Linked DNA regions of Callithrix jacchus. The protein of the gene in region 1 interacts with the protein of each later gene in a biochemical or structural test. Links are inferred from orthologs where the notes say so. Each region holds a gene or a part of one and is shown in the gene's direction. Other genes may lie near its edges. The genes, in order: DLG1, MAPK12, CRIPT, PBK, ARHGEF16, PTEN and EVI5.

Region 1 (3,500 bases):
CAGAAAAATTGACTTTCATTTTCAGAAACAGGAGTGGAGCTGGACTATAAATAACATCGTCTATTTATTTTTAATTACAAAGACCTCCCTTCATTAAAATGAGGATCTATTTCCTTAAATATAGTTTGTCCCCTTTGCTAGTTACTGCTGTTTCAAAGACTGAATTAGATAGTGCCAACAATATTTTCCCTTTGAGTTGTATATCTACATTTAGACTAATTCAGGATCATTTTGCCTTTGTTATATTCTACTCGCTATTTATAGTAGAGACTTGTTCATAAACTGTGTTGTACAAAAATAAGGCACTGTCCTTAATTACAGGTGTTTTCCCTTGCTAATACATATTTATTTGAAAAAATTAAACCTTTCAAAGAAAAGAAAAAATGCTTTTAAATTAAAAAATTATTTTGTTATATATGGCTTATACCTCAACATTTTATGTCACCCTCTTTTATTTTGATTATTTGCTTTTATCAGCTTTTTAAACTCATGACACTGTGTTTTCTTTATTTGTCTTCCATTGTCCTGCAATTTCAGAGCATGTAACTTCTAATGCCAGCGATAGTGAAAGTAGTTACCGTAAGTGTCTTAAGTTACTTGTTCTTTTATAATTTCAAGTAGTAAATCCTCAGCAGGGGTGGAGGGATTCTTAGTAATATGTTCTAAAACCCTAAAGTTAATATGATTGATATTAAAATCAGGAAGAGCCAAGTAAAATTTTGTGCTTGAAAAAAATCATAATATGTAGAGGTTAATTTATAAAATTTTAATAAAATACTAAAAATAGTATTATTTGTGTACATAGTACATATATGTGTGTATATATATTTTTTATAAAAAGTAAATACTTATATGGGGGAAAACTTATATTTTGACATTTTGTTGAATTCTGTTTTTAACATGAGTGCTAAAATAATATTTTTCAGTAATGCTAAATTATAATTAGCTTTATTTCTGTTTTCATTATTTTACCAATACTGTTCTGGATCAAGTCATTGTTTATCACCAGCACTTGGTGAACAGAAGAAATAAGGAAGGAAACATTTTCAATGATTGCTCAGAAAATAATGCTAATTTCTCTTTTGATGTTTTATATTACATTCTTGGTTTTATTAAGTGAACTACACAAGCATGTGATGTTTTTAAACAGATTTGGGTGTGGGAGAAGGGGAAAGTATATAATGTTATCATTTGTAGCACCTTAAAAATTAAAATTGCTTTTCTAACTTTTTTTTTTTTTACTGCTGTCTAAAATGAAAGTAATCTTGATTACAGATGAGTACGGCTGCCCAAAAGGTCCATCCTGTTAATATCAGTCCCTAATACTTTTTCATGTTGACAGTATATACTTTTAACCATCACTCATTTGGTTGATTATTTTTCTACATAATAGTTACTTAATTTTTTTTTGGTGTGGAAATGATTTCTTGTATTTCAGCATTTTATTGCTTATAACCAGAATCCACTATAGAGTAGTGGAGTGGCTTTCTAGGCTAAAAAGAGGTAATGAAAGTATATACTGTCTGTCTCACCATTTGCATGAATTATTAAGGAGTGGAATATTCCAATTGCATGTGTTTGCTAGTATGTAAGCCATGTTTTACATCCAATAATTTAAAAAAGTTTATATTGGTTTTATATACTTCGATAATAAAATTAAAAACAAAGAAATACACACTTAAAGCAGAAAAGAATGTTTATGTCAATATATGGATTTAAAAGACTGCAGCTACATACATATAATATAAAACAATTGCAAAATTCATGGTAAAATTAATATAGGATCTTGATAATTAAAGAAAAAGTCTTCAAATACATTATCCAGTATTGATTGTTTTCATTGAACCACTTGGGTTAACACAGTCTTTTCTAATTTTGGGTGTGGGGGCAAGGGGGATATGTATTAGTTAAAAACTGCTAGAGTTTTTAATTTTGTAGTTATTTTCATTGGATTCAGATATAATTTGTAGACTCTTTAATTTAGAATATATCCTAAGCTCTAAATCTTTAATTTGGAAGCTTTAACTTCTTGTATGCTTTTAAGTTCAAAGCAGAATATATTTATCTCCTTTACTATCATGTGGTTTTTTTATTGGAAGGATTTAGTTTTGTCTAAAGCTCTTTTTGATTCACATTAAATTTCTTATTTTTTACAAAGTTTAATTTGTGAATTTTTTCATCAGTGAAATAGTGACAATAGTTTTACCTTTGTGTTTATAATTTTAAATTTTAAGGTAGTTGTAATTTTTTTAAATATACTGTTTTCAGTATTATAGTTGGTGAAAAAAGTAGCATATTTTTAATAGTAACAATTACCTAAGATGTATATATATATATATAGATAGAACTGTTCATTAAAGCATTAATCTTTAACAGAGTTAATAATTCTTAAATTCTAAATAAAGAAGTAGCACGTAGTATCACAAATGAAGATTTTAGATTTGATGATTATTTATTGATTTAAAAGCTCATTTATATTTTGTTTTACATTTAGCAAACTCACTTTTATGACTTTATGATTTGCCACTTTTATTTATTTTTTTTTACTAAATCTTGCCACAAAGTACCTCTTTCCATATCTTTGCCATTTTCTTAGGAAAGTTATAGTAATGTATATGTTGTTTATGAAGAATTAGACTAGCATCAGTTATCTTTATGTATTTTTCATCTGTGCCTTCACTTTCTAATAGGTGGTCAAGAAGAGTACGTCTTATCTTATGAACCAGTGAATCAGCAAGAAGGTTTGTGAAGCCTATTCATATTTTATAATCTTCTAGAATAATATATTTTTAATTTGGGGGAAAAAAGTCTAATACCCCCCAAAAATGTTATATGTAGAAATTTACTACATGTATTTTATGAAACATAGTTTATTCCATAGTATATTAGAATCTAGTCATTTCATATTGACTTTTATATTTGTGTTTTATTTCCTAAGCAATTTTTTTCAAGTGTTCTTGTTAACATCGCTATCTTCCAAATAACCCTTTTTTGAAAATCTTGGGAGCATCTTTGACCCTTCTCTGTTCCTCATGCTCCTCAGCTAATCAGGTTCCAGGCACTATTGTACTTCTTTCTTATTTATGACCTGCTCTTCGTCCCTTCTACCACAATGTTAGTTCTCGGCCTCACTCCCCATCTCCATTCTTCCAGCACGATCTTATGCAACCTAGAGTTTACACTTCTTTAGATCATCTTTCTAAAACACTACTGTGATTATATCACTTCCTACATCTAATTTCTCTTCTGCCCTTCTTTGCTCTGCTTCCTTACAATTTCTACTTCAAAACTGTCTGTAAAACACTATATGTTATTCTGTCATTTGCAATGTAAATAAACATAATCTGCTAAACTACCAAATTTAACTTTGAATTATCAAGTGTATGACTTCTAGCAGGAGACTGAGTAAACTTTAAGATCTTAGTCAAGATTATAAAACAGCAAATTAGGCATCTTTGGTTGACGGAAAAGGAAGATGGAGGAGGAAGAAAAAAATTCTT
Region 2 (4,058 bases), on another chromosome or scaffold:
ACAGCCCCACCTCAGATGCCTGGTCTGTGTGGGGCCTGCTGGACCCCTGAGCCCCACCATGAGGAGTGAGGGGGACAGCAGTGGAAGCAGGGCTTCCTGGAAGACGTGGATGGAGTGCCACAGGCAGCCCAGGGCACAAAGGTTGCAGGCCACAGCCAGTTGTGGTTTGGGTAGCCCCGGGCTACCCCGGCTCACTGGTCACCAGCTGGTGAATGCCGCAGACAGCCGGAAGCCCAGGTGTAAAGCTACTCCCACCCTTGAGCGGCTGAGCTGCTGATTCATGGCAGGAGGGCGGGCGGGGGGCCCTAGGGAACTTGTTACCCACCAACCCAGTGGGTTCCAGGGGTGCACCCCCCATCCTTCCTGAGACCCAGATCACTGGGCTGGGGAAGGGGTGTCAGGGTGGGGCTTTTCACTCTGAAGCATCTGGTCCAGGATGGAGCCAGACCGATGGGAGGATGATGCCCACACGGAGGGGACAGGCTGAGGGCCCAGCAGGTCCTCGTCCCTGTAGGAGAGAGTGCAGCCATGAGCTTTGCAGGACGGAACAGGCAGGGGTGGGACAGGCAGATGCACTGACACTTGCAATGCGTGGAACAAGCACCCCACAGAGGAGAGAAGGGGAGGAGCTGGGGGTGCAGGAGGGCCCACGGGGACCTATGGGACTGGGAGGCCCAGGGTCAGTGGCCACAGCAGTGGGGTTGGGCATGCAGCTTGAGGAGTCTGGGAGACAGGGACGCAGGCAGGACAGGTGCAGGTGGACCCCACGTGCGGGGACAATGGTCAGGCACAGCGGCAGGGTATCCTTGGGGGTGAACCTGGGAACACAGGGCTCAGCCCAGGGAACTCAGGGCAGGGGGACAGTGACTTGCAGCTGCAGACCCAAGTCGGTTCTCAGGCTGTCACGGATGGGCCTGGAACTGTGGGGAGTAAGGACTGGAGCCCGGCGGGGATCCTGCTGAGAACGCCCCTCCTCACCCCCCAAGGCAGGGAAGTTCAGCCAAAGGGCAGAGGCTGGCATGGGTATCTCCGCGCCGCGTCCAGCCCTAGGTCCGGACAAAGCTGCGGGGCGGCGCTCCCCTCCCCCTGCGCTTCCCCCCAGGCTCCGGCCCTCCCCCGGCGGCGGCCGCCTCGGGTTTCCGGAGGGGCCGGAGGGCGGGCGAGGGCGTCACGTGCGCGCGGCCCGCGGGCCGGTTGGTCCCCGGGCGGGGGAGGGGCCGTGCGCTGCCTGGGTCGGGGCTGGGGTCGGGCAGGGGTTGGCACCTGGGACATCCCTGCGGGAAGAGCCGGGAGCAGGAGCGCCCCAGCGGCGGGCGGGCGGGCGGGCGGACAAGCCGCGCGGAGCGGGCCCGGGGCGCGCGCCGAGGGAGCCCCGCCGATCCCGGGTTACCGGTCCTGGGGGAACCGCCCGCGGGCTCTGCGGAGTGGGCGGCTCCCGGGCCTGCCATGAGCTCTCCGCCGCCCGCCCGCAGTGGCTTTTACCGCCAGGAGGTGACCAAGACGGCCTGGGAGGTGCGCGTCGTGTACCGGGACCTGCAGCCCGTGGGCTCGGGCGCCTATGGCGCGGTGTGGTGAGCGCGGGCCGGGTGGGGCGGCCGGCGGGGCGGGCGGGGCCTGCGCGGGGTGCCCGGCCTTCCCGCTAAGCGTGTGCCCCGCAGCTCCGCGGTGGACAGCCGCACCAGCGCCAAGGTGGCCATCAAGAAGCTGTACCGGCCCTTCCAGTCCGAGCTGTTCGCCAAGCGCGCCTACCGGGAGCTGCGCCTGCTCAAGCACATGCGCCACGAGAACGTGAGTCGCGCGGCCCCGCTCCGGGAAGGCGCCGCACCACGGCTCGGCTCGGCTTCCCCACCCAGCGACGCCCCCTCAGCAGGCGGCTGCGGGGCGGGGCGGGGACCGGGCCGTGGATCCCCAGGGGAGGAGGAGAGCAGGGCTCAGCCCCCGTCTTCTCTGCCAGCCCCGGGAAGGACTCACCCCCTCAACTCCGCGCCTCAGCCAGGCCCTGGTCAGGGGACACGAGTTGGCCAGGCTCAGGGATTCTCCAGCTCTCATGCCAAACCCTGCCCCCAGCCAGGAAGCCCGTGGTGAGAGGACGCTCCCAGTGGGCCGATTTTCCTGGAAGGGGCACCTCCCCTCTTTCCCATCCGGACCCCTCTCCAGCTCCTCTGTGGAGCCCACTCTGTTGCGGTCCATTTCCCGAGTCTTCTGACCCAGCGGGGGGCGAGGGGGGCGCGTCCAGAACGTAGGGAGTGTTGGACCCTCAGGAGCCCCTGGGGGTGCAGGGTGTAGGGAGCTGGGGTTTGGGGGCCACTGGGTGCGGTGGCCATCACACAGACACCCTCCCGTTCCTTGGGTGGTGGTGGGGGCCCATCCTTTCCAGCCCTGCCCATGAGATGCACAGCTGCCCTGGGCCTCTCTCATGGCTGTGGCTGGCTGTTGAAAGCCCTACCTTTCTGCCAGGGGCGCTCCCGTTTCTGGACACAGTTCCACTTGTTCACTGCCCCCCACGTCACTCCTGCCCTGCCATTTGAGCTCCTGGACCCTAGCTTCAGGGTCACACGCTCTGGACCCTCCTGGGTCATCCAAGCCACCAGCGCCCTGGGAGAACGAGTCCCTGCGTCCACCAGCAGACTGCCCCCACCACTCCCTCAGCCCTTGAGTGGGTGCTTTTCTCTGAGGCTTCCCATGCCCACCCTGACCCCAGCTCACCCCCCTGGCCCTGTGAAGCCCCTTTGTGGTGGACAGCAGTACCGCCGCCATCTCACCACCTCCCAAGTCACACCCAGGCCTTGTCCCAGGAGTGTACCCGCCCCCACCCTTGGTTTTATCCAGCTCCTCCCCTGCAGCCCCCTGGCCCCACCCACCCACTCACCTGTCTGTTCCTTGCCCCTGTCCAGCCAAGAGCCCCGGGCTTTTCTTTTTTCTCTGGAGACTTGTTGCCCAGGCTTGAGTGCAATGGTGAAATCTTGGCTCATCGAAACATCTGCCTCCCTGGTTCAAGCAACTCTCCTGCCTCAGCCTCCCAAGTAGCTGGGACTACAGGCACGCGCCACCACACCCAGCGGGGGATTTTGTATTTTTAGTAGAGCTGGGGTTTCACCATGTTAGGCTGGTCTGGAACTTCCAACCTCAGGTGATCCGCCCACCTTGGCCTCCCAGAGTGCTGGGATGACAGATGTGAGCCACCACGCCCAGCCACCAGGGCTTTTCTGTAGTCACTGCTCGCTGTGCCTGTGGGTCCACCCCCTGGGCTCCTGGCCTGCAGCTTCGGCTCTTCCCCTGGAACGCCATCATCCTGGGAGACTAAGGGTTTGCAAGGCCATGTGCCTTGCTCAGCTGGGGAGGAGGCTCTGGCACAGGCCCCAGTCCTGACGTTTCCAGGCGGGCCCCCATACCACAGAGGCCAAATCCATCCATCTGATGGCCCCAAGCCCACAGGACCCTGTTCTCCGTCGTGGGCTAAACCACTCTCCCAGGCACCCTCCAGCTCTCATGACTGCAGTCCCGGCTGCTCCCAGGCCTCCCTAGACCTCGCCCCACCCACCGTTCCTTCTCTTTCCACACTCTTGCCCTCAGCTCTGGCCCACGTGGCTACAGTGGAGCTGTCCTTCCAGCTTGTGCCCATTCTTGCCTCACTCCGGCTGGTCCCTATACCACAGCCAGGACACATTTAGCATCACACCCCTGTTTAAATCCTTCCCTGTCTCTTGGGATCAAAGCCAAACCTTCACCTGGTGTGTGCTTCCTGCCGGCTCCCTCTGGCCTCTCCTCAGCCCCTCCCTGGCCTGGGCCTCGGCCACCTGGCCTCCCTCCCTTTGTTCCTCAAACTCTCCCAGTGTTTTCCCTCCTGCCTCGGCTACTCTGTGTGTGCCCTCTGCCAGTTTCCCTCTGTCCACACGTCCACCTGCTCCTCTGTCCTTGGCTATGCAAAACTCCAGGCCTCTCTGGGACCCTGGAGGCCCTGTCACCCCAAAATGCTGAGGTGGCAGTTATCTTATGACCTGTCCACTGTCCGTCTCCCCAACCAGGGGCGTTGTGGGGACCAGGTCTGACTGGTCACG
Region 3 (4,110 bases), on another chromosome or scaffold:
GTCCAAAATGTTTCAACCCCTACAAATAAGTCATAAAGTCAATTTCCTATGGGCAATGTATTTGTTTCAAAACACCTGGACCTTATAATAGGTGAAGGGGAGAAAGGCAGCAAATCACACTGCCACGTGTGTACCTATGCAACAATCTTGCATGTTCTTCACATGTACCCCAAAACCTAAAATGCAATTTAAAAAATTGCTCTCACTTAATTCACCCAATGCTTTTCAAAGGCAGATACTTTACTGATAAGGAAACACGACAAACAGGTAAGGAGGTCCAAGTTCTCAAGAGCTACAGCCCTCTCTCTGGTACAACGAAATAAAGGGATGGAGAAGGAAACGGATGGCAAGAAGGGACAAAGGGAAAGTTTCCTATAGATTCTATCTTAAGCTGATTGAGGGAGGGCAATCATCAGGAATCCATCCTCACAACAAACCCTTCATCCATTTTTCTGAGCCACCCTCGGAATCGCAGCTGCCAACAGGAGATGCTCCTACAATAAGCAGGAACCAAACTCAAATGTTTGCTGAACGAATGAAGGAACCAGAGTATGTAAAGTGGGAAACTAACTCTCCTGGGAAACCCACACCGTGTTAGGCCCTGGCGTGCCCCCAGGACACCTACAAGGGTGCCACGGGTATGACCTGGCCCACCTCGCTAGGCACCGCAGCAGAGAGACGGCGCTTCCGAGCGGCCCCCAGAGGAGCCCTCGCGGGCATCGCCGCACCTTCACTGGCAGCCCCACCCCAACCTGGGTCGCTCGGGATTCTGCCCGAGCCTAGGCCGGCGCGAGCGTCGACAGCCAGGAACCAGCAGAGAGGCAGGATCAAAGAGCACGGGAGTTGGAGACAAGGGAAAACTGGGGGACAGAGGCAGAAACTCGGATCCGAAAGGGGGGGTCTGTCCATCAGAGCACGCCGGAAGAGTGGCGCTCGAGCTGAGGGCGAGAGCGGGCGGGCCGGGACGCCAAGGCTCACGGCTGCTACGGCAGTTCGCGGGGGTGGCTTGCACCCCGGGGGGCGAGATCGCCGGGGGCGTACATTGGGGCTTACCTAACTCTCCCACCCGCGGAAGGGAAGCGGGGAACTACTGCCTCCTACCATCAGGTACGACGTGCTACCCAGGCCCACCCGCAAGCGCAGGGTTAAGGGGCGGAGATCCAGGGCCGCATAGCCAGTAGCAGAAAGAGAGGGGCGGGCAGATGGGGCAGCCCCGCCTAGACGCTCCCGTTCATTCCTCCCGCGGCCTTCCAAGTTTGGGCTAGACCGGAGCGGCGTGCTTAGAAGCCGGAAGTGGGTTGACGTAGCCCGGAAGGGGAAGCCGTCCGGGTTTTAGTTTTGATGTTTTCGGGCTGCTGTTGCTGCTGCTGCTGCTGCTGTTGCGGCTAGGGGAACCGTCGTGGGGAAGGATGGTCTGCGAAAAATGTGAGTTAAGGGGCTCCTCCTGCGGGAGGAAGAAACTGGGGGAACCTAAATGAACTCTCCCGGGAACTCTGCCTTCTCTTTTGTTTTTTCTTCGCCCACATCTTTGATTCTAGTCGCTGTCCTTCTGCTCTACCCTTTGACCATTTTTGCACCTCCCCAAAGACCATATAGTCCTATAGTATATTTTGTTTTCAGAATGGTCTTAGTTCTGCATCTCCTTGTCTATTTCCATTGCCTTCCCCCAGCTCCAGATCTCATCAGCTCCCCTCCCGTATAAAAATGTTCAGTTAAACCCCAATCACACCTTTCCCTCTTGCAATTCCTGACCTTTCCTTTTTATTCATGTAACACACTAGAACCAAAGACCAAGGACCTCGTCTTACTCATTCCTGTTAGTCATTATGCCAGAATATGGCTTAGAGTAAGCCCAGAAGATGTGTGAATTGAACATCAACGCAAGTGCAAGTTACTATTTCCCTAATTTAACACCTTTAATAAATTCTCAGTGTGCAGAGAACAATGTGGGGATTCTGTATTTGGAGCCTGACGTTCAGGACCCTCCGCAATAAGGCCCCAACTTATTTTTCCAGCTTCATCTTCACTGATCCTTACCCTCTTCACACTTTGACCAAACGTAACTACCCTTTGTGCCCATGTGTACTCGGAGCTTTCCATGCCTTTCCTCAGAATGTGTCCTTTATCAGTCTGCCTTTATCCTCTTTACTCCTTTTTGTTCACAGTCCTATTGCCACATATTCAAATCCTCTCTCTTGCCTTCTCCCCAAACTTTCTTGGATTTCCTTAGCCAGGGTTATATCTTCCTGCATGGAATTTCACCTAGTACTTTAGCTCTCAATTATTACACCGTTTAATTTTTAGCTTATATTTTGGTTGAATGATTCTCAGGTTCTCTCTGAGAATCTGAAGAAAGCTATAGACTCTTGCCAGGAAAGAAAAAAAAAAGATATATAAAAGGTTTGTGTACAATTCTGCCTTGTTCACATATCTCTTAAGATCGACCTGTGGAACATAGATTAAAGATTGCTGTTAAACTACTGTACTATAATCTCTTTAAAATTTTGTCTGATTCATCACTTATTTTTTTCAGTAATTTGTATAGTTTATACATCATAGATGCTTAGTAAATATGTATGGAACAAATAGACTTGCCAGATTTGTTTAAAGTATAAACAAACAGAGAAAGCTTATTATAAGCCATCTTATTATCCTACGGATTTTACTGTGGATCAGTCATTCATTGCCCACAGTTAATACAAGTCTCAGTTCACTGACTGCTCTCCCAGCATTAACAGGCTCCTGCAGTAATAGGACTGTTGATACCATTGTGAACCTTAGGCACAATGTGATGCACTTATGAAATACTAAATTTTAAATTGCTTTTTACTATCTTATTATAACAGGTGAAAAGAAACTTGGTACTGTTATCACTCCAGATACATGGAAAGATGGTGCTAGGAATACCACAGGTATTTCTTCTTTTAGAAAATAGGAATTTAACCAGAGACTCCTGTGAATATTTTATCTTTTACGTTATTTGTAAAATGAAATGTGTTCAAAGTATTTTGTCTATTAAACATGAAAGAATCCTGGGTCCCCAAGTTATTTAATATCTTCTACTTAGTTCTGTTACTTGTACAGGTTCCTAACATCAGGAGATAGCAAAATTATTAAATGATTGTCAAGTGGTGACAGTATCATAATATTTGATTTGATTCAGCTTATTTAGAGACTGCATTTAATTTCTCCGCTCTTCTGAGGAGAAATTTTTTTAAATCTGGTTTTTATATTCTTGAATAAATCCTTTAACCCATTTTACCTTCATTATCATTAATTACTTACAGTGAAGTATTTACCTTCATTATCATTAAATACATAAAGTATGTTTTCGAAGGGAAAGAAAAGAAACATAGACATTCAAGGTCTATGACACTGAAGTAGTGGGTTCTAGATTTTACAGTATATCAAGTAAATATAGACCCATTCCTAAGGTACTACCTTGAGTCTGAAAAATAAAATGATTGTATTTTATACAAATTTTTATTGTTTCTCTAATAAATGTTTTCTTTTTAAGCAGCGTCTTAATAACCTGACTGTTAAATGAAGATTTAAAAATTAGATATAGGCTACTAGTTTGGCAGAAAGTCAGAGAATGAACTTCTTAATGTTATATGTTAAATGTATAGAAGTAACCCTTTAAAATAACTTCTATTTTGATACAGAAAGTGGTGGAAGAAAGCTGAATGAAAATAAAGCTTTGACTTCAAAAAAAGCAAGGTGGGTAAGAGGATCCATAGAGAAGTCATATAATTTTCACTCTTTTAATGTTAAGCCTACTGGAGTGAATTTGATGTGCATCATTCCAATTGCAATAAAACATAGAGTTAGGTGGTTCCTGGCACTCAGAACCAAGCTATTTGTTATAACCTGCTGGTTTTACCTTATTCCTCCTTACTGTATGTCCCCCTCTGACTTCATATTGTACCATACTCCTCCTCATTCATCATATGCCATCCTCATTGGTTCTGCCAAGCCTCCCCCATCCAAAGAGATTTGTCCTTGCTGCTGTGTCCTCGAGGTCTTTACTGAGAGCTTACGTATCTGGCTCCTTGGTGTTTGGGTCTCAGCTGAAGGGTCTTTTCTCGGAGAGGTTTCCCTAATCAGCCT
Region 4 (3,500 bases), on another chromosome or scaffold:
ATCCTCCCCACTGTGAAGATACTAAGACTTCTCTCAGTATATTAGATCTCCCAATTGAAATGGAAATGTAGTGGAGGTGTTCATAGTCCAAAATATGTCAAATACTATTTTTTAAAACAAATTACCTTCAAGTTCCCCCCCTGCCAAATTTGGAAGTTGTTAATTATTTTAAAAAAGTATTGTGGCTTTTGTTGTTTTCTATCCTTTTTAATTTTCTTAGATCTCCAAGAGGTTTGTCTCATTCTCCTTGGGCTGTAAAAAAGATTAATCCTATATGTAATGATCATTATCGAAATGTGTATCAAAAGAGACTAATTGATGAAGCTAAGATTTTGAAAAGCCTTCATCATCCAAACATTGTTGGTAAGTTTAAATTTGGTGGCAGTATCTGGTACATCATTGTTTATTCAGAAACAGCTTATATGCTCTCTTAACTGGTTTCACTAATAGAAATGAAGAGGATGGGGCTGGATGTTTAATGGGAATCAAATTAATGTGATCAGCCTAAAATAAAACTGTGCATATAATTTTTAGGCATAAGTATATATTTAAACTTCAAGAGAATAGATATAATTATGTTGCTAGTTCTATGAAGATTTTAGGAATATAAAATTTATCTTTGTTTAGATAATTTAAATCCATTTAGGTAATTTTCCTGGATTTCATTTTTAATACAAGTAGGGCTGGCAAAACCATTATATTTAGGGAAGCAAAGGAAAGCAAAAGTATTTTAATTTGTGGTACTACTGGCAAACACTGAAGGCATTTTAAATGAGATCTACTGAGTTAGTCTTCTAAGTAGTAGCCGTTTCATTGTATATTTGTTAGTGTTAGCCCAGGTCCATGTTTTCAATCGCATTACTATAAAGGACTTAAAAATATTATTGTTCTTCTGTATATTAGCAAAGAAATGTCATGTTTTCTTTAAGGTTATCGTGCTTTTACTGAAGCCAGTGATGGCAGTCTGTGTCTTGCTATGGAATATGGAGGTGAAAAGTCTCTAAATGACTTAATAGAAGAAAGATATAAAGACAGCCGAGATCCTTTTCCAGCAGCCATAATTTTAAAAGTTGCTTTGAATATGGCAAGAGGGTTAAAGGTAACTATGTCATTATATTTTAAATGAGCAAATAATCACTTTGCAGGACATCTTTGAATGTGGAATATTGTTACTAGTCAATTCCAAAAAGGGGCTAATGTAAAACTATAGGCTTAACATTTCTGCTTCCGAATTACATTTATGTGTATGTAGCTTAGTATGTTCTGAGCAATGTGTCATTTGGCAGTTTCATCACTGTGCGTGTGGATATCATAGTGTACTTACACACACTTAGATGGTAGAGCCAACTACACACTTAGACTATGTGGTATAGCCCAGTTCTCCTATGCTGCAAACCTGTATAGAATGTTACTATACTGAATACTATAGGCAATTGTAACACAGTGGTAAGTACTGTGACTAAACACATTGAAACATACAAAAGGGCTGGGCGCAATGGCTCGCGCCTGTAATCCCAGCACTTTGGGAGGCCAAGGTGGGCAGATCACGAGGTCAAGCGATTGAGACCATCCTGGCCAACATGGCGAAACCCCGTCTCTACTAAAAATACAAAAATTAGCTGGGCATGGTGATGGGCACCTGTAATCCCAGCTCCTTGGGAGGCTGAGGCAGGAGAATCGCTTGAAACTGGCAGATGGAGGTTGCTGTGAGCCCAGATTGTGCCATTGCACTCCAGCATGGGCAACAATAGCAAGACTCTGTCTTGGAAAAAAAATAAAGTATAAAAAGTTAGCTTAAATATATATCTATTCCTAAAGAAACTTTTAGACTTCTGGTCAGTGTGGCAGACTGAGATAACCTGAGATGTTCCCTTCTCTTGCTTCAAATAATTTGAAATGCTGGGCCAGGCACAGTGGCTCACACCTGTAATCCCAGCACTTTGCGAGGCTGAGGCAGGTGGATCACTTGAGGCCAGGAGTTTGAGGCCAGCCTGGTCAACATGGTGAAAGCTTGTCTTTACTAAAAACACAAAAATGAGCCAGGCGTGGTGGCATGCACCTGTTGTTCCAGCTACTTAGGAGGCAGGCTTAAGCAGGAAAACAGCTTGAACCCAGGAGGCAGAGGTTGCAGTGAGCCGAAATTGTGCCATTGCACTCTAGCCGGGGCAACAGTGAGACTCCATCTCAAAAAACAAAAAACAAACGAAATGCAAGTTTAAACTTTAGGGAGTTCAAATTGTTATTTTGATTTGGAGGTTATTACATTTTTTATTTATGTTTCTGCTCATGTGTGTTAAATTTCTTACTATTTTAGTATCTGCACCAAGAGAAGAAACTGCTTCATGGAGACATAAAGTCTTCAAATGTTGTAATTAAAGGCAATTTTGAAACAATTAAAATCTGTGATGTAGGAGTCTCTCTACCACTGGATGAAAATATGACTGGTAAGTCGTACTCTAAGTTTTAAAATTTTGTTTTTAATGTTTACATTTTTAAATATAGAAGTCCACGTGGATCAAAAATCAAAAACTTTTTTTAAAGTATATGGTAAAAAAGCCCTTGTTTTTTCTCTTCCAGTAAGCCTGCAGTCCTCTCCCTTGCTACATGTACGTTGTAAATTACTATATTAGTGGTAGTAGTATTAATGTATATTTTAATTGGAGTTAACTTTGGGAAAGATTTCTAACTGAATTGGGATATTTATGCAGTAAAACATCTGGGAATAGAAAGTAAAAGGTTTGTAAAGCAGCATCAGTAAAGCGACAACATTTAGGAACCTGGTAGAGGAAACCAGACTGAAGCAGGAAAGAGAGGTGCTGATGAAGGCTGGTCTTCAGCTCTTTGCCCCTTGGCCCACCCCAGCTCATTCTTCTCTACTGTATATACTGATCATTGGCTTCTCAGGGAATTTAAGATCTGTTCTTGGTGAGAAATAAGAGCCTCAAGAGAAAGCCTCTGCTTGCAACGTATTATTTAGTAAATAATACTTAAATTTGTCTCTTTATATAAACCTGAGTTAAACAAATGGTTAATAGATGCTGTTTAGAACATATATATGCCTAAATTTCTAGCTGAAATAAAAGTTGAAGGCAAGAGGCAGGATGAAGCTACAGACTTGATAAATAAAAGTCTGTAATCATTAATAAAAATAGAACTGTTGTTCTAAATAACTGTGACCAAGTAGAAACTTTAGGAAGTAAAAGAATAAATTGTCAAACATAATAAAACTGAGGGTTTTTAAAGTATAGTTTTCTCAATCCTTAATAGATCAAACAGACAAATGTAAGGATGTTAAAGATGTGAGTAAATGGCAAGGCAACTCTCTCAGCACCATAGTATGTATTAAAATTGACCATATTCTTAGACTTCAGATTATAAAAAGTATAAAGTCTAATAAGTGATATTCCTTAACATCAGTGCTGTTAATCTAGAAATTTGTAATAGAAAACAAAAACTCCCAACTTTTTAGGAATTTAAAACACTTCTGACTAATTTTTGGC
Region 5 (3,500 bases), on another chromosome or scaffold:
CTGCTCAGACTCCCCTCAGGGAGCTGCAGGCACCAGGAGTTTCTTCCCAGGAAAGGGCTAGAGGATCTGCTGGAGGAGGCAGCCGGGATGGGAGTGGCTGGGGCTTAGAGCTGGCACCAGGGCCAAGCCACCCCTTCGCTTTTCACATCGGAAAATGGGGGCTTGTCCCCACCCTGTGGGGTCTCAGTGGAGAGCATGGCCCAGAGCAGTCCTCGTGCTTGTGGGGGTGGCTGCTCCTGCCCCAGGTGGACCGCACATGACCCCTGCTTGAGGGCCTAGGGAGGGTACCATGTGTGGCCGTGGGCGTGGCGGGCATCAGGGAGGGCAGGCTCCCACCTGCAGTACAACGGGGCTCCTTGTTCTTCATCTGGAGGGGCTGGCACTGTAACCGCCCACCATGTTCCATGGCACTTCGTGCCCCAGGACCCTGGCCAGGGCAGACCCAGCGTGGGGTGAGGACAGGCAAAGAGCAGCCCCCTCACAGACAGAAGGGTCTGGAAGTGCAGGTTTACTCCACTTTGGAGCTGGGCATGTGTGGTCTCCTCCTGTCTGGGGTGGGGTTCAGCACTGCACCCTGGTAACTGCAGAGATTCCGGCCCCTCATGGGAAGGAGGCACTGGCTTGGGGGACAGGGACTCGCTCTTGGACAAGGTGCTGTTGGCAGCCTTTCTGCCCAGCCCAGTGAGGAACAGAGCACAAAGCAGGGTGACCCGGGTCCTGCAGAGGGGACGCCGGGCAGTGTGACAGCCCGCTGTACCTGACGCACTCTGCCAAGGGAACCACGCTCCTGCCAAGGTGACCCACCAGCTGTGGCCCCTGAGGAGAAGGGAGCCGGGTGGGCACAGCATCACCCATACCTTCACTGACACCTCGCCCAGGTGGGGTCTGGGTCAGTCCTGCCCTCCACATTCCCTCGCTGGGTGGGCCCTGCATCTCTCCATCTGTTGGGAAGGTCTTTGGGATGAGAGCCCCTCCTGCCCTCTGGCCTTTCCCTCTGGATGCCCCATGTTCTTTTCTGGGCTGCTCTGGGGCTCTTTGGAGGGGTTGGGCCTGCTCATCAGCATCCCCTAGGAGGACTCCACAGAGAGGAAGGTGGCAGGGACAGGTTGGCTCCAGGGTCAGACTTCACCAAGCCCAGCGGGGTGGCTGTGGGTGTCTGCCCAAGCCCCTGCCTCAGCTGTCTATCAGGAGGTCCATCAGGAGGAGGACAGAAGAGAGACTTTAGCACGGGCTTCCAGGACATGTGACCTGGAGCTCCTGGGCCTGTGTCCCCCCAGGTGATGGAGTCAGGCATCCTGGAGCAGCTCTCCACCGAGGAGCGCAAGAGGCAGGAGGTGAGGGCCCTGGGCGGGAGGGCCACCCCACCATGGCCTGGGCCACACCATACCCGGGGAGGGGTAGCAGCCAGGTGGTACTGCCAGCCTTCCCTCTGTGGCCACCTCCAGCGCCAGGCCCCTGTCCTGATGACCAATGCCTCGAACAGGCCTGGCTGTGCCTCTACCCATGCTGTGCCCTGATGGAGCCCCTTTGTGTCACCGGGTGAATCCTCAGAGTCCAGCCGCTGCCATCACCCTCTTTTCCAACGTGGACGGGGTTCATTGCCCAGCTTCATGCAGCTCATAAGGCACCCAGCCAGGGGCATGCAGGGAGGTCAACCTGGCATCCCCAGGCTGGCTGTCCTGACAGGCCCATCCAGGGGTCTGTCTGAAGCTCCTGTCCCCACCTGCCCCTGCCACCTGGGCCACATCCTCTGAGCATCAGTCCCTGAGGCACGCCCGCATCCAGTGTCACTGTGGGGCTCACCCAGGCCCCTTTCCGCAGGCCATGTTTGAGATCCTCACGTCCGAGTTCTCCTACCAGCACAGCCTGAGTATCCTGGTGACAGAGTTCCTGCAATCCCAGGAGCTGCGGGCGACCATGACCCAGATGGAGCATCACCATCTCTTCTCCAACATCCTGGACGTGTTGAGTGCCAGCCAGAGGTAAGGCCTCACCACAGCCTTCCACACAGGTGCCTCTGTCAAGAAGGCGCCCCCCATCCTGGGCACCACAGCAGCATCAGCAGGACCTGGGGAGCCTGGGCTTCACCTGATGGGACAGTTTGGGGCAGCTGCCACGGAGCGTGACAAACTCTGATGGTCCTTGAGGCCATGGAGAGCTGGACCCAGGGCCAGGCCAAGTGCTGGGCTATGGCGTCCTGGTTGCTCGTAAGATGTGGAGCACTTCTCAGGGCTACAGCCCTGCCACACTGCCAAGTGCCATTCACCAGGACACCCAGGCACAGAGGGCTGCATGACCCAGGCAGTGGTGCTCACAGCTGCTCACCCGTAGGCAGGAAGTTTCAAGTTGCAGCCCTGGGTCATGTTCCACCCAAAGGTGTCTGGTGGCTGGACCTGGGCTCTGGTTGCAGGGCCTGGAGCTGGAAGAGTCTGGAAATGCAGCTGATGCAGCTACAGGCCAGCATGGGTGTGTGTCCACAGGTGTGCGTGCATGGGTGTGCATGTGTGTGCCTGGGCAGGGTGTGTCCACAGGTGTGTGTGCATGGGTGTGCATGTGTGCACAGGTGTGTGCCTGGGCAGCGGTGTGTCCACGGGTGTGTGTGCACGGGTGTGTGCCTGGGCAGGGGTGTGTCCATGGGTGTGTGTGCATGGGTGTGCATGTGTGTACAGGTATGTGTGCCTGGGCTGGGGCATGTGCATGGGTACACGGGTGTGTGCTGGGCAGGGGTGGGTCCACAGGTGTGTGTGCATGGGTGCACAGGTGTGTATGCCTGGGCAGGGGTGTGTCCACGGATGTGCATGGGTGCATTGGTGTGTGTGCCTGGAGAGTGGCTTGGGAGCATTTGGCACCCTGGTGTGTGTGCATGGGTGTGTATGGATGGATAGAGATGCATGTGCATGGTGTGTGTGCCTGAGCAGGGGTGTGTGCAAAGGTGTGTATGCATGGGTATGCGTTGGCATGGGTGTGTGCCTGGGTGTGTGTGCGTGCATGGACGGGGTGTATGTTTATAGGTGTGCGTGGGCAGCTGTGTGTGCATGGGTGTGTGTGTGGGTGTGCATGGGCAGAGGAGTGTGTGCATGGATGTATAGGCGTGTGTGTGTGCATGGACAGGTGTGTGGCAGGGGTGTTTTTTGTAGTGGTGTATTACGTAGGTGTGTGTGTGGGCAGGGGTGTGTGTGGTCTCCATGTGCTGCCCCTAGATTCAGGAGGACCCTGGGGCATCATTTAGTCCTCTGAGCCTTGGCCTCAATGTTAACCTGAGGGGCAGCGCCTCTGGCCACTTCATGGGCTTGGGCGATGCTGCAAGATGATTAGGGACCTGTAGTGCCTGGTACGGGGTGGCCCCAACAGTGGTGGCTGCTGGCTCATTCTTATATCAGCCCCACCCCTGGCAAGTCCCACCCATCTACTCCCTGTGGGGTGCCCTTGCGGAATTTGGGGACCCTGAGGGTGGACTGGGAGCCACCTTATTCCTGGAGGCAGGGGCTTTCTGTAGAGCT
Region 6 (3,500 bases), on another chromosome or scaffold:
ACATGTATTTGCCGTGCATCATCAGGGAAGTTGCACTTACCTTCCAAGAACTTTTGTTAAGGTAAATCTTGGAATATTTAGCTCTTTTGAAATTCAGAAAAAATTAAATTCATATCTGAATTTTGTTTATATGTATGCACACATAAAACAAAACCATTTTTAAAGCTAGTATTAGATTAGAAAAGAGGTTTTTTGCTTAAAATTTTAAGACAAAAGTAATTTATCTTAGATTTTGCAAGATTATATTTTTGATTTAAAATTTGAGTGACAAAAAATCATGTAACAAAAATGCAACAGAAAACTCAGATTGCCATATAATAGTCTTAGTGTTTACCTTTTTTGAATATATCAAATGATAGTTTATTTTGTTGACTTGTTGGCAAATGTTTAATATGGGTAACATTTTTTTAAAGAGTAAAATATTAAAATAAATAATTTTCTTTCTCTTTTTTTTTTTTTTTTTAGGACAAAATGTTTCACTTTTGGGTAAATACATTCTTCATACCAGGACCAGAAGAAACCTCAGAAAAAGTAGAAAATGGAAGTCTATGTGATCAAGAAATTGATAGCATTTGCAGTATAGAACGTGCAGATAATGACAAGGAATATCTAGTACTTACTTTAACAAAAAATGATCTGGATAAAGCAAATAAAGACAAAGCCAACCGATACTTTTCTCCAAATTTTAAGGTCAGTTAATTAAACATTTTGTAGGGGTTGATGATTTGTGTATATGTGATATGTGTTTAATTCTAGGTGTACAGCTGATAAAGAACTTGCTTGACAAGTTCTTAAATTATGTATTATTTAGAAGCAGTGTTTATGTACCAGTAACATGAAAGTTTTTAATAAAATACCCGATGTACACAGAGTCAGAAAAGCTGCATTTTTCCTTTTCCCAATTCATTGTTGTTGTTTGGTGAAATCTGAAGCAAAGGTACAGGAGGGGGGTTAAATGACTGGGATATGAAGTAGGAATGGAAGAGGAAAGAAATGGATGGAAACTCAGTCATTTGGGAATGATTCATATGGAAGTTTTTACTGCTTCCACTCCTGTCTCCCTTCCAATTTATTCTCAACCCCTGAAAGTGGCCTTAAAAATAGGTTTAATTATGTCACTTCTGTTTTCACTTTATAAAGACCTTGGGTTTTTTGTTTTTTTTACCATGACCTACAAGGACCAGCATAATTTAGCACAGGCCTACCTCCTACATCAGCCCTAGTCACCTTCTCTCCTTGCTTCTTGAGATTCAGACATACTGGTCTCTCTTCAGTTCTGCAAAATGCTAACTTCTGCCTCTAATCTTTCCAGTTCTTTTCCTTCTCCCTGTACCTTTCTATCCCAGCCTTTTCCCTGTCCTTCACATAGCTGTCTTCATATTTCCAGCCTTAGCTTCAATCTCATATCTCTGATTGTCCTCCCCTGTTATGCTTCTTAAAAGATCCTATTTCCTTATTTTGTGTCTTAGAATTATTTGGTTTGTCTCATTTTTGTCTATATGTGATACGTATATTTGTACCTAGGTATATATATCTACTTATAGACAAGAATTCTTCAAATTGAAAAACTCTGATTTGTAAAACATTCCAAAATGGTTATTGGCCATTTTTTTCTTCTGCTTTCCTATTTCTTATTCTACCTGATTTCCCCCTGTCCATTCACCATACTCTTTTCTTTCTCTTTTTTACTCTCGCTCTTAATTTTTCACTCAGTTTTTATAATATGTAACAAATCTATAGCTTCTGAGTATTAAGAATATTGCTAGTAATATTTTGCCTATAATCCTAGCACTTTGTGAGGCTGAGGCGGGTGGATCACTTGAGGCCAAGAGTTTAAAAGGCCAGTATGGTGAAACCCTGTCTGTACTAAAAATACAAACCTTAGCTGGGTGTGTGTCCCACATCTGTAATCCCAGCTACTTGGGAGGCTGAGGCATGAGACTCGCTTAAGCCTGGGAGGCAGAGGTTGCAGCAAGCCGAGATCACGCTGGTGCACTTCAGCCTGGGTGACAGAGTGAGACTCTGTCTCCCCGCCAAAAAAAAAAAATTGCTAGTAATAGTAATACTTAAAAATCAGTAAAGGGGCCCCTACATGTTTTAAGTGAAAATAGATCTAATATTAAATGCCTTTAGCTCTTAAATTTAAGTGTTGAGAAGTTTCCCTTTTTAAAAAAATTTTAATATATAATAATTATACATATTTATGGGATACAGAGTGATATTTTCATGTATGCAGTGTGTGATGATCAAATCAGGGTAATTAGCATATGGATTACCTCAAACATTTGTTATTTTTTTGTGTTGGGAACATTCAAAATTCTATCTTCTAGCTATTTGAAAATAGACAATAAATTATTGTTGACTCGTTACAGTTCTGTAGAACACTATAATTTATTCCTCCTATCTGTAATTTTTAATCTTTTAACCAACATCTTCCTATCCTCCCCTCTCCCTCCCTTCCAAGCCTCTAATAACCACACTCCTATGAGCTCAACTTTTTGAGCTCCCATATGTGAGTGAGAACATGCAGTATTGATCTTTCTGTACCTGACTGATTTTACTTAACATCATTTCCTCCAGGAAAGACATTTTCTTTAAAATCTACAGGTTTCCTTTGTTTTCTCTAAATCTGCATTTTGCTTAACCATTAACCTTTAAACTATCTTTTCCTTCTAGTTTTATTGTTTTCTGTTTTAATATTGCAAGATTTTTATATTTGTGATTACAAATAAAAGCTCTGTTATTAGTAAACAAATACAATGTCATATTGTGGTAAGTGCTATAAAAATAGAGAGAATAATCTTGGTTTGTGTGTTTTTTGTTTTTTAGCTAGGATGATTAGAGAAGGCCCAACCAAGCACATAATATTTAAGCAGAGCCTAAATCATATGAGTGAGTTATGCAAATATCTGGGAAAAGAGGGAAGAGTAGAGATGCAAAAGCCTTTAGGCAAGGAGCTTGGTGTATTTGAAGAGTGGATAAGTCATTTTGACTAAAACAGAGTAGACAAGAAAACCAGTCCATGTGTAAAGATACTTGTGTGTGTTCAGCATAGGAAGGATATAATCTGAATTTTGCATTTAATACTCCCTGTGTTTATGCTTTCAAAATATAGATAAGTGAGGAAAGTAGGGAGAAGGGGTAATAATTAAAGCTGAGAGATAGTTGAGGCACTTGAATAGTTTAGTAAAGGTGAGAGATGATGTTTTCTTCTTGTTGCCCTTCACTGCTTAGAATAGTGGCAGTGAAAGGTAACAAGAAGCTGTCAGATTAACTAAAAGGGTTTACTGATGGAGTGGATGTTGGTTGTAAGAGAAGAATAATTGATAATGACTCTTGGATAATAGGGAGGGGCTGTCAATATAATACAATGAAGAAGGGATTTGAAGTCAGATCTGATTTACATCTCAAATCTACTACCTACTATTTATAGATATGTGGCCTTTAACAAGTTCCCTAACCTTTCTGGGCCTTAGCTACCTCTCCTTGAAAACGGAAAT
Region 7 (3,944 bases), on another chromosome or scaffold:
CCAAATAATAGTTGCCTCATGTGGAAGCACATAACATTACATAACATTATTTCTGCCACGTTGTAGGAGCTGAAAACGTTACTGTCATTCCTCTTAGGAAAGTATCTGACACAGTTGAATATCTTTAATATATTTGTCAATAAATGAAGGAGTAAATAAATGAAGCATTCTTAGTGACTGGCTTGGAGATTCACTTGCAAATGGGGATAACAATAGGATTATTGTTTGGAAACCCTTTCTGTGGAGAATCTAAAAACACATTTCCAGCCAAATGATGAAGATTAAGTGAAATGATAGATGAAAAGTGCTTCCACAGTATGCAGCTATGGTAAGTGCTTTAAAAGCACAAGCCATCACCAACGTAGGGGTGTGCACCTATAATCCCAGCCACTTAGGCGGCTGAGGCAGGAGGATCACTGGAGCCCAGGAGCTCAAGTCCAGCCTGGGAAACATAGTGAAACCCTATCTTTAAAAAACAAAACAAAATTCAAGCTATCATGAGAGAGGTAATTCTTTAAAACTAATATATCAGATCTAGAAAAGTACTGAAGAAGTGGCTTTATTTAGGTACCTCTCACAAGGTATATTATTTGCTGCTATATTGCATAGTAAACTCTCAATGGCCCCTGAGTAACAGAGCTGTAACATTCATTAATAGAACACGATAGCCTGCAGAATACCAAAACCTCAGGTCAGGAGTGAAAAAAAAAAATCCAAAGAAGAAATTTCTACCAAATTAATAATTTTGTCTAGTGCCAGAAAACGCCTAATTATAGAAGTTTCTGGCCAATGCCTCAGCATCGACACTCAAATACAATAACAATTATAATGTCATTCTGAGATAAATCAAGTCATGGAAGGAAAGAAGAAGATGGAAGGAAGGAAGGAAGAAGGGAGGGAGGGAGACGGGGGGGGGCGGAGAAAAGAAGGGAAGAAGGAATGAGAAACCAAAATCAATTAGTATGCATAAGACCAAAAAGCTTTGTTTTCAGCATTCTTAGTCCTCCACATTCCCAGCTCCCTACTACCTAACAAATGTATAAGGTGGAACTGAAAGGGTGTTAAATGGGTGGATCCCAGTGGCAATGTCGTTAACACTCCCTATGAGTCAGCTATAAATGCAATTCAAATCCCCAGCCTCCCTGTCTTCTCTGCTTATCATGGTTACCACCAAAATGACTGCTGCCTTTAGAAACCCTAGTGGAAAACAGGTAAATGTGTAAAACAATGTTTGATTTTATATTAAAACTTACAAAAATGTAATTGCTGTAATAGAAAGTATTTTGTTATTCAGCTAGGATTTGTATATTTCACTTAATCTTCAAAACACAGGAACAGCTTGTTAACATTTCTTCAGTTTTATTTTAAGAATGTTATCTTATTGTATTGCGGCCATTTGAGTGATGAACAAAATTTATGAAATGTTAGGTTTAATTCCACACCTGCAAGAAAGGTATTTTAGTAACTGTTTTTTTGTAATTCAACACTTGCCACAATTCTCTCCTTGCTGTAATTGGCTGCTGTTTATGTTTCTTTGAATACACATTCACAGAGGAGAACTAGTGTGTCTGTATGGGCTTCAAATTTCTCATATGGAGAAAAAGAAAATGACTGGTTACCATAGCATTTGTTCACAAACTCTATTTGGTGGCAATGTTGATGGTTGCATGGCCTTTCAACGACGGTTTCAGAAGTGTTGCCTCCCGTCATGTTTGGGAACACAGTTCATAATAAAGGCTACATTAATTTTTCTGTAAGGTATCATGTTCCTAATATAGTTTCCTTGTTTTTTTTTTTTTGGTGGTTGTGGGGGAAGACTGCTAATTAACGTTAGCTAATGTTTGTACCTGGCTTTAATTAGACCATTTTACAAGAAATAAAAACACATCTCATGTCGCATCTATGATTGGGACTCTCATTCTTATTTGCTTGATGAAGAGACTGAAGCTTCAGAGGTTAAAAGCCAGACAATTAGCAGGTGTCAAAGTCAGGATTCTTCTAATTCATTCTTTATTATTTATCTGTCTTTTTATTTTTGCACATTGGTGCTTTGTGGCTTTTGAAAATAGCAATTGCAATAGCTACTATTTTTGAATACTTCTTACATGCATGGTATATATTATTCTACCTAACTGTCACTTCAGTGCTTAAGTAGATATTATTATCTCCAGTTTATGGATGAGAAGATTGGAGTTCAAAGAACGCAAAAGGGTTGATCACATTTTTGGCAAGAACACTTAAAATTTTAGGTCACAGGCTAGTCACTTGCATCAATGTAGAAGTTACTAGCTCCCAGATAATTGGACAGTTTAAGTGGAATACTAACTCTAGTTCCACCAGATTTTATCTTGCTTTAAAACAAGTATTTTGGAAAGTCAAGCAATGAATGAACTTCTTTTGGTGGGTAGGGTAGAAATTAGCACACTATGGATGTCCCATTCTGGTGGCGCAATTTCAGAAATTTTTTGGGCTGACAGTGTTAATGTGTAGTATCACATATAGAAATGATGTCTGAGCTCGAGAGCCAGAGAGCTTGTTCTTTCCCACAATCATGGCAGATCTAGTCTCTACCTGTGCACAAGTATCAAGAGATTGGCTGGGCGCAGTGGCTCACGCCTATAATCCTAGCACTTTGGGAGGCCAAGGTGGGTGGATCACCTGAGGTCGGGAGTTCAAGACCAGCCTGGCCATCATGGTGAAACCCCATCTTTAAAAAAAAGAAAAAAAGATATAAAAGCAAGAGATTAACAGAATTGTGTGTCTCTTAACAGTGTTATTTCCTAAGATGATGTCAGGGTCTTCTAAAGAATGAATATGGTGGAGGTAAAGTGGTGAAATTGAAGGTTTTTTTTCTTTTTTTTTGAGACAAGATCTTGCTCTGTTGCCTAGGCTGCAGTGCAATGGCATGATCTTGGCTCACTGCAACCTCTGCCTCCTGGGCTCAAGTGATCTTCCCATCTCAGCCTCCCTAGTAGCTGGGACTACAGGTGCATGCCACCATGCCCTGCAAAGTTAAAGCTATTCTTATAACTCCAGTGCATGGTGGCCATAGCTTTTTATTTGAGTACCTTTCAGATTTGTATACTAGAAAGTAATGAGCCTGGTAAGATAGGCTGTTACTATTTTACTGTGAGCCTTCATTTAAAAAAAAAAGTTTTGAACATTAGTAGGTGTTGAAATAGAGTATTATGTCTCCTTTTTCTTTAATAGTGCTACCAATAGGACTTCCTGTTGGATGGAAATGTTCTATATCTGTGCTGTTAGACAGTAGCCACTAGCCACGTGTGCTATGACTGAGCACTTGAAGTATGTGAATATGACTATGAAACTGAACTTTTAATTTAAGTTTATTTATTTTTGAGACAGGGCCTCACTCCGGCACACAGGCTGGAGTGCAGCGGCATGATCTCAACTCACTGGAACCTCCACCTCCTGGGCTCAGGTGACCCTCCCACCTCAGTCTCCAGAATAGCTACAGTTGTGCCACCACACCTGGCTGAGTTTTTATTTTGATTTTTGTAGAGACAGGGTCTGACTATGTTGCTCAGGCTGGCCTCAAACTCTTAGCCTCAAGTTATCCTCTTGTCTTGGCCTCCCAAAGTACTGGGATTACAGGCATGAACCACCACGACTGGCTTAATTTAAGTTTAAATGTAAATAGTCACATGTGGCTAGTGTCTCTAGTGGCTGCTGTATTGGACATTGCAATCCTAGAATGTGCCTGAGATACTCTGGTTCTCTAAAAAAGCTCCAAATACCAGGTGCCCAGGGTGAGGGAGGAATATTGCTCACCAGTGGGTTTGACTTCTCTGGTGAGTCCTCCTTTGTACCTTGGGTTGTTTTTGCCTTTCAGAGGAAGATCTCCTTTGATTTCCTTTCTGTGAGCAATGGAGCTGACTTAAACACCGTTGGCAGTTTAGAGCATGGTGTTTCAGGGTTTAATC

The links.
Region 2: the proteins of DLG1 (region 1) and MAPK12 interact in a test that uses a peptide from one of them, tested with the Homo sapiens proteins (2 studies listed by IntAct, with this or other methods). The link is inferred for Callithrix jacchus from reciprocal best matches to the Homo sapiens genes DLG1 and MAPK12.
Region 3: the proteins of DLG1 (region 1) and CRIPT form a complex in vitro, tested with the Homo sapiens proteins (3 studies listed by BioGRID and IntAct, with this or other methods). The link is inferred for Callithrix jacchus from reciprocal best matches to the Homo sapiens genes DLG1 and CRIPT.
Region 4: the proteins of DLG1 (region 1) and PBK form a complex in vitro, tested with the Homo sapiens proteins (2 studies listed by BioGRID and IntAct, with this or other methods). The link is inferred for Callithrix jacchus from reciprocal best matches to the Homo sapiens genes DLG1 and PBK.
Region 5: the proteins of DLG1 (region 1) and ARHGEF16 interact in a test that uses a peptide from one of them, tested with the Homo sapiens proteins (2 studies listed by IntAct, with this or other methods). The link is inferred for Callithrix jacchus from reciprocal best matches to the Homo sapiens genes DLG1 and ARHGEF16.
Region 6: the proteins of DLG1 (region 1) and PTEN form a complex in vitro, tested with the Homo sapiens proteins (2 studies listed by BioGRID and IntAct, with this or other methods). The link is inferred for Callithrix jacchus from reciprocal best matches to the Homo sapiens genes DLG1 and PTEN.
Region 7: the proteins of DLG1 (region 1) and EVI5 interact in a test that uses a peptide from one of them, tested with the Homo sapiens proteins (2 studies listed by IntAct, with this or other methods). The link is inferred for Callithrix jacchus from reciprocal best matches to the Homo sapiens genes DLG1 and EVI5.

The regions. Positions count from the first base shown.
Region 1 is NC_133516.1:25,083,307-25,086,806, forward strand, and holds part of DLG1 (disks large homolog 1), read left to right. Parts: intron 1-537; coding exon 538-579; intron 580-1,260; coding exon 1,261-1,296; intron 1,297-2,690; coding exon 2,691-2,741; intron 2,742-3,500. UniProt on the Homo sapiens protein: Essential multidomain scaffolding protein required for normal development. Recruits channels, receptors and signaling molecules to discrete plasma membrane domains in polarized cells.
Region 2 is NC_133502.1:218,838,445-218,842,502, reverse strand, and holds the start of MAPK12 (mitogen-activated protein kinase 12), read left to right. Parts: upstream 1-1,258; 5' UTR 1,259-1,446; coding exon 1,447-1,571; intron 1,572-1,658; coding exon 1,659-1,788; intron 1,789-4,058. UniProt on the Homo sapiens protein: Serine/threonine kinase which acts as an essential component of the MAP kinase signal transduction pathway.
Region 3 is NC_133515.1:68,132,468-68,136,577, reverse strand, and holds the start of CRIPT (cysteine-rich PDZ-binding protein), read left to right. Parts: upstream 1-1,310; 5' UTR 1,311-1,409; coding exon 1,410-1,425; intron 1,426-2,846; coding exon 2,847-2,912; intron 2,913-3,665; coding exon 3,666-3,720; intron 3,721-4,110. Other genes in the region: PIGF (GPI ethanolamine phosphate transferase, stabilizing subunit), read right to left, coding at 655-909. UniProt on the Homo sapiens protein: As a component of the minor spliceosome, involved in the splicing of U12-type introns in pre-mRNAs. Involved in the cytoskeletal anchoring of DLG4 in excitatory synapses.
Region 4 is NC_133514.1:13,889,492-13,892,991, forward strand, and holds part of PBK (lymphokine-activated killer T-cell-originated protein kinase), read left to right. Parts: intron 1-220; coding exon 221-363; intron 364-929; coding exon 930-1,099; intron 1,100-2,314; coding exon 2,315-2,444; intron 2,445-3,500. UniProt on the Homo sapiens protein: Phosphorylates MAP kinase p38. Seems to be active only in mitosis. May also play a role in the activation of lymphoid cells.
Region 5 is NC_133508.1:41,343,099-41,346,598, forward strand, and holds part of ARHGEF16 (rho guanine nucleotide exchange factor 16), read left to right. Parts: intron 1-1,277; coding exon 1,278-1,334; intron 1,335-1,821; coding exon 1,822-1,982; intron 1,983-3,500. UniProt on the Homo sapiens protein: Guanyl-nucleotide exchange factor of the RHOG GTPase stimulating the exchange of RHOG-associated GDP for GTP. May play a role in chemotactic cell migration by mediating the activation of RAC1 by EPHA2.
Region 6 is NC_133513.1:80,555,628-80,559,127, forward strand, and holds part of PTEN (phosphatidylinositol 3,4,5-trisphosphate 3-phosphatase and dual-specificity protein phosphatase PTEN), read left to right. Parts: intron 1-465; coding exon 466-690; intron 691-3,500. UniProt on the Homo sapiens protein: Dual-specificity protein phosphatase, dephosphorylating tyrosine-, serine- and threonine-phosphorylated proteins.
Region 7 is NC_133508.1:130,484,138-130,488,081, reverse strand, and holds the start of EVI5 (ecotropic viral integration site 5 protein homolog), read left to right. Parts: upstream 1-1,144; 5' UTR 1,145-1,160; coding exon 1,161-1,211; intron 1,212-3,944. UniProt on the Homo sapiens protein: Functions as a regulator of cell cycle progression by stabilizing the FBXO5 protein and promoting cyclin-A accumulation during interphase. May play a role in cytokinesis.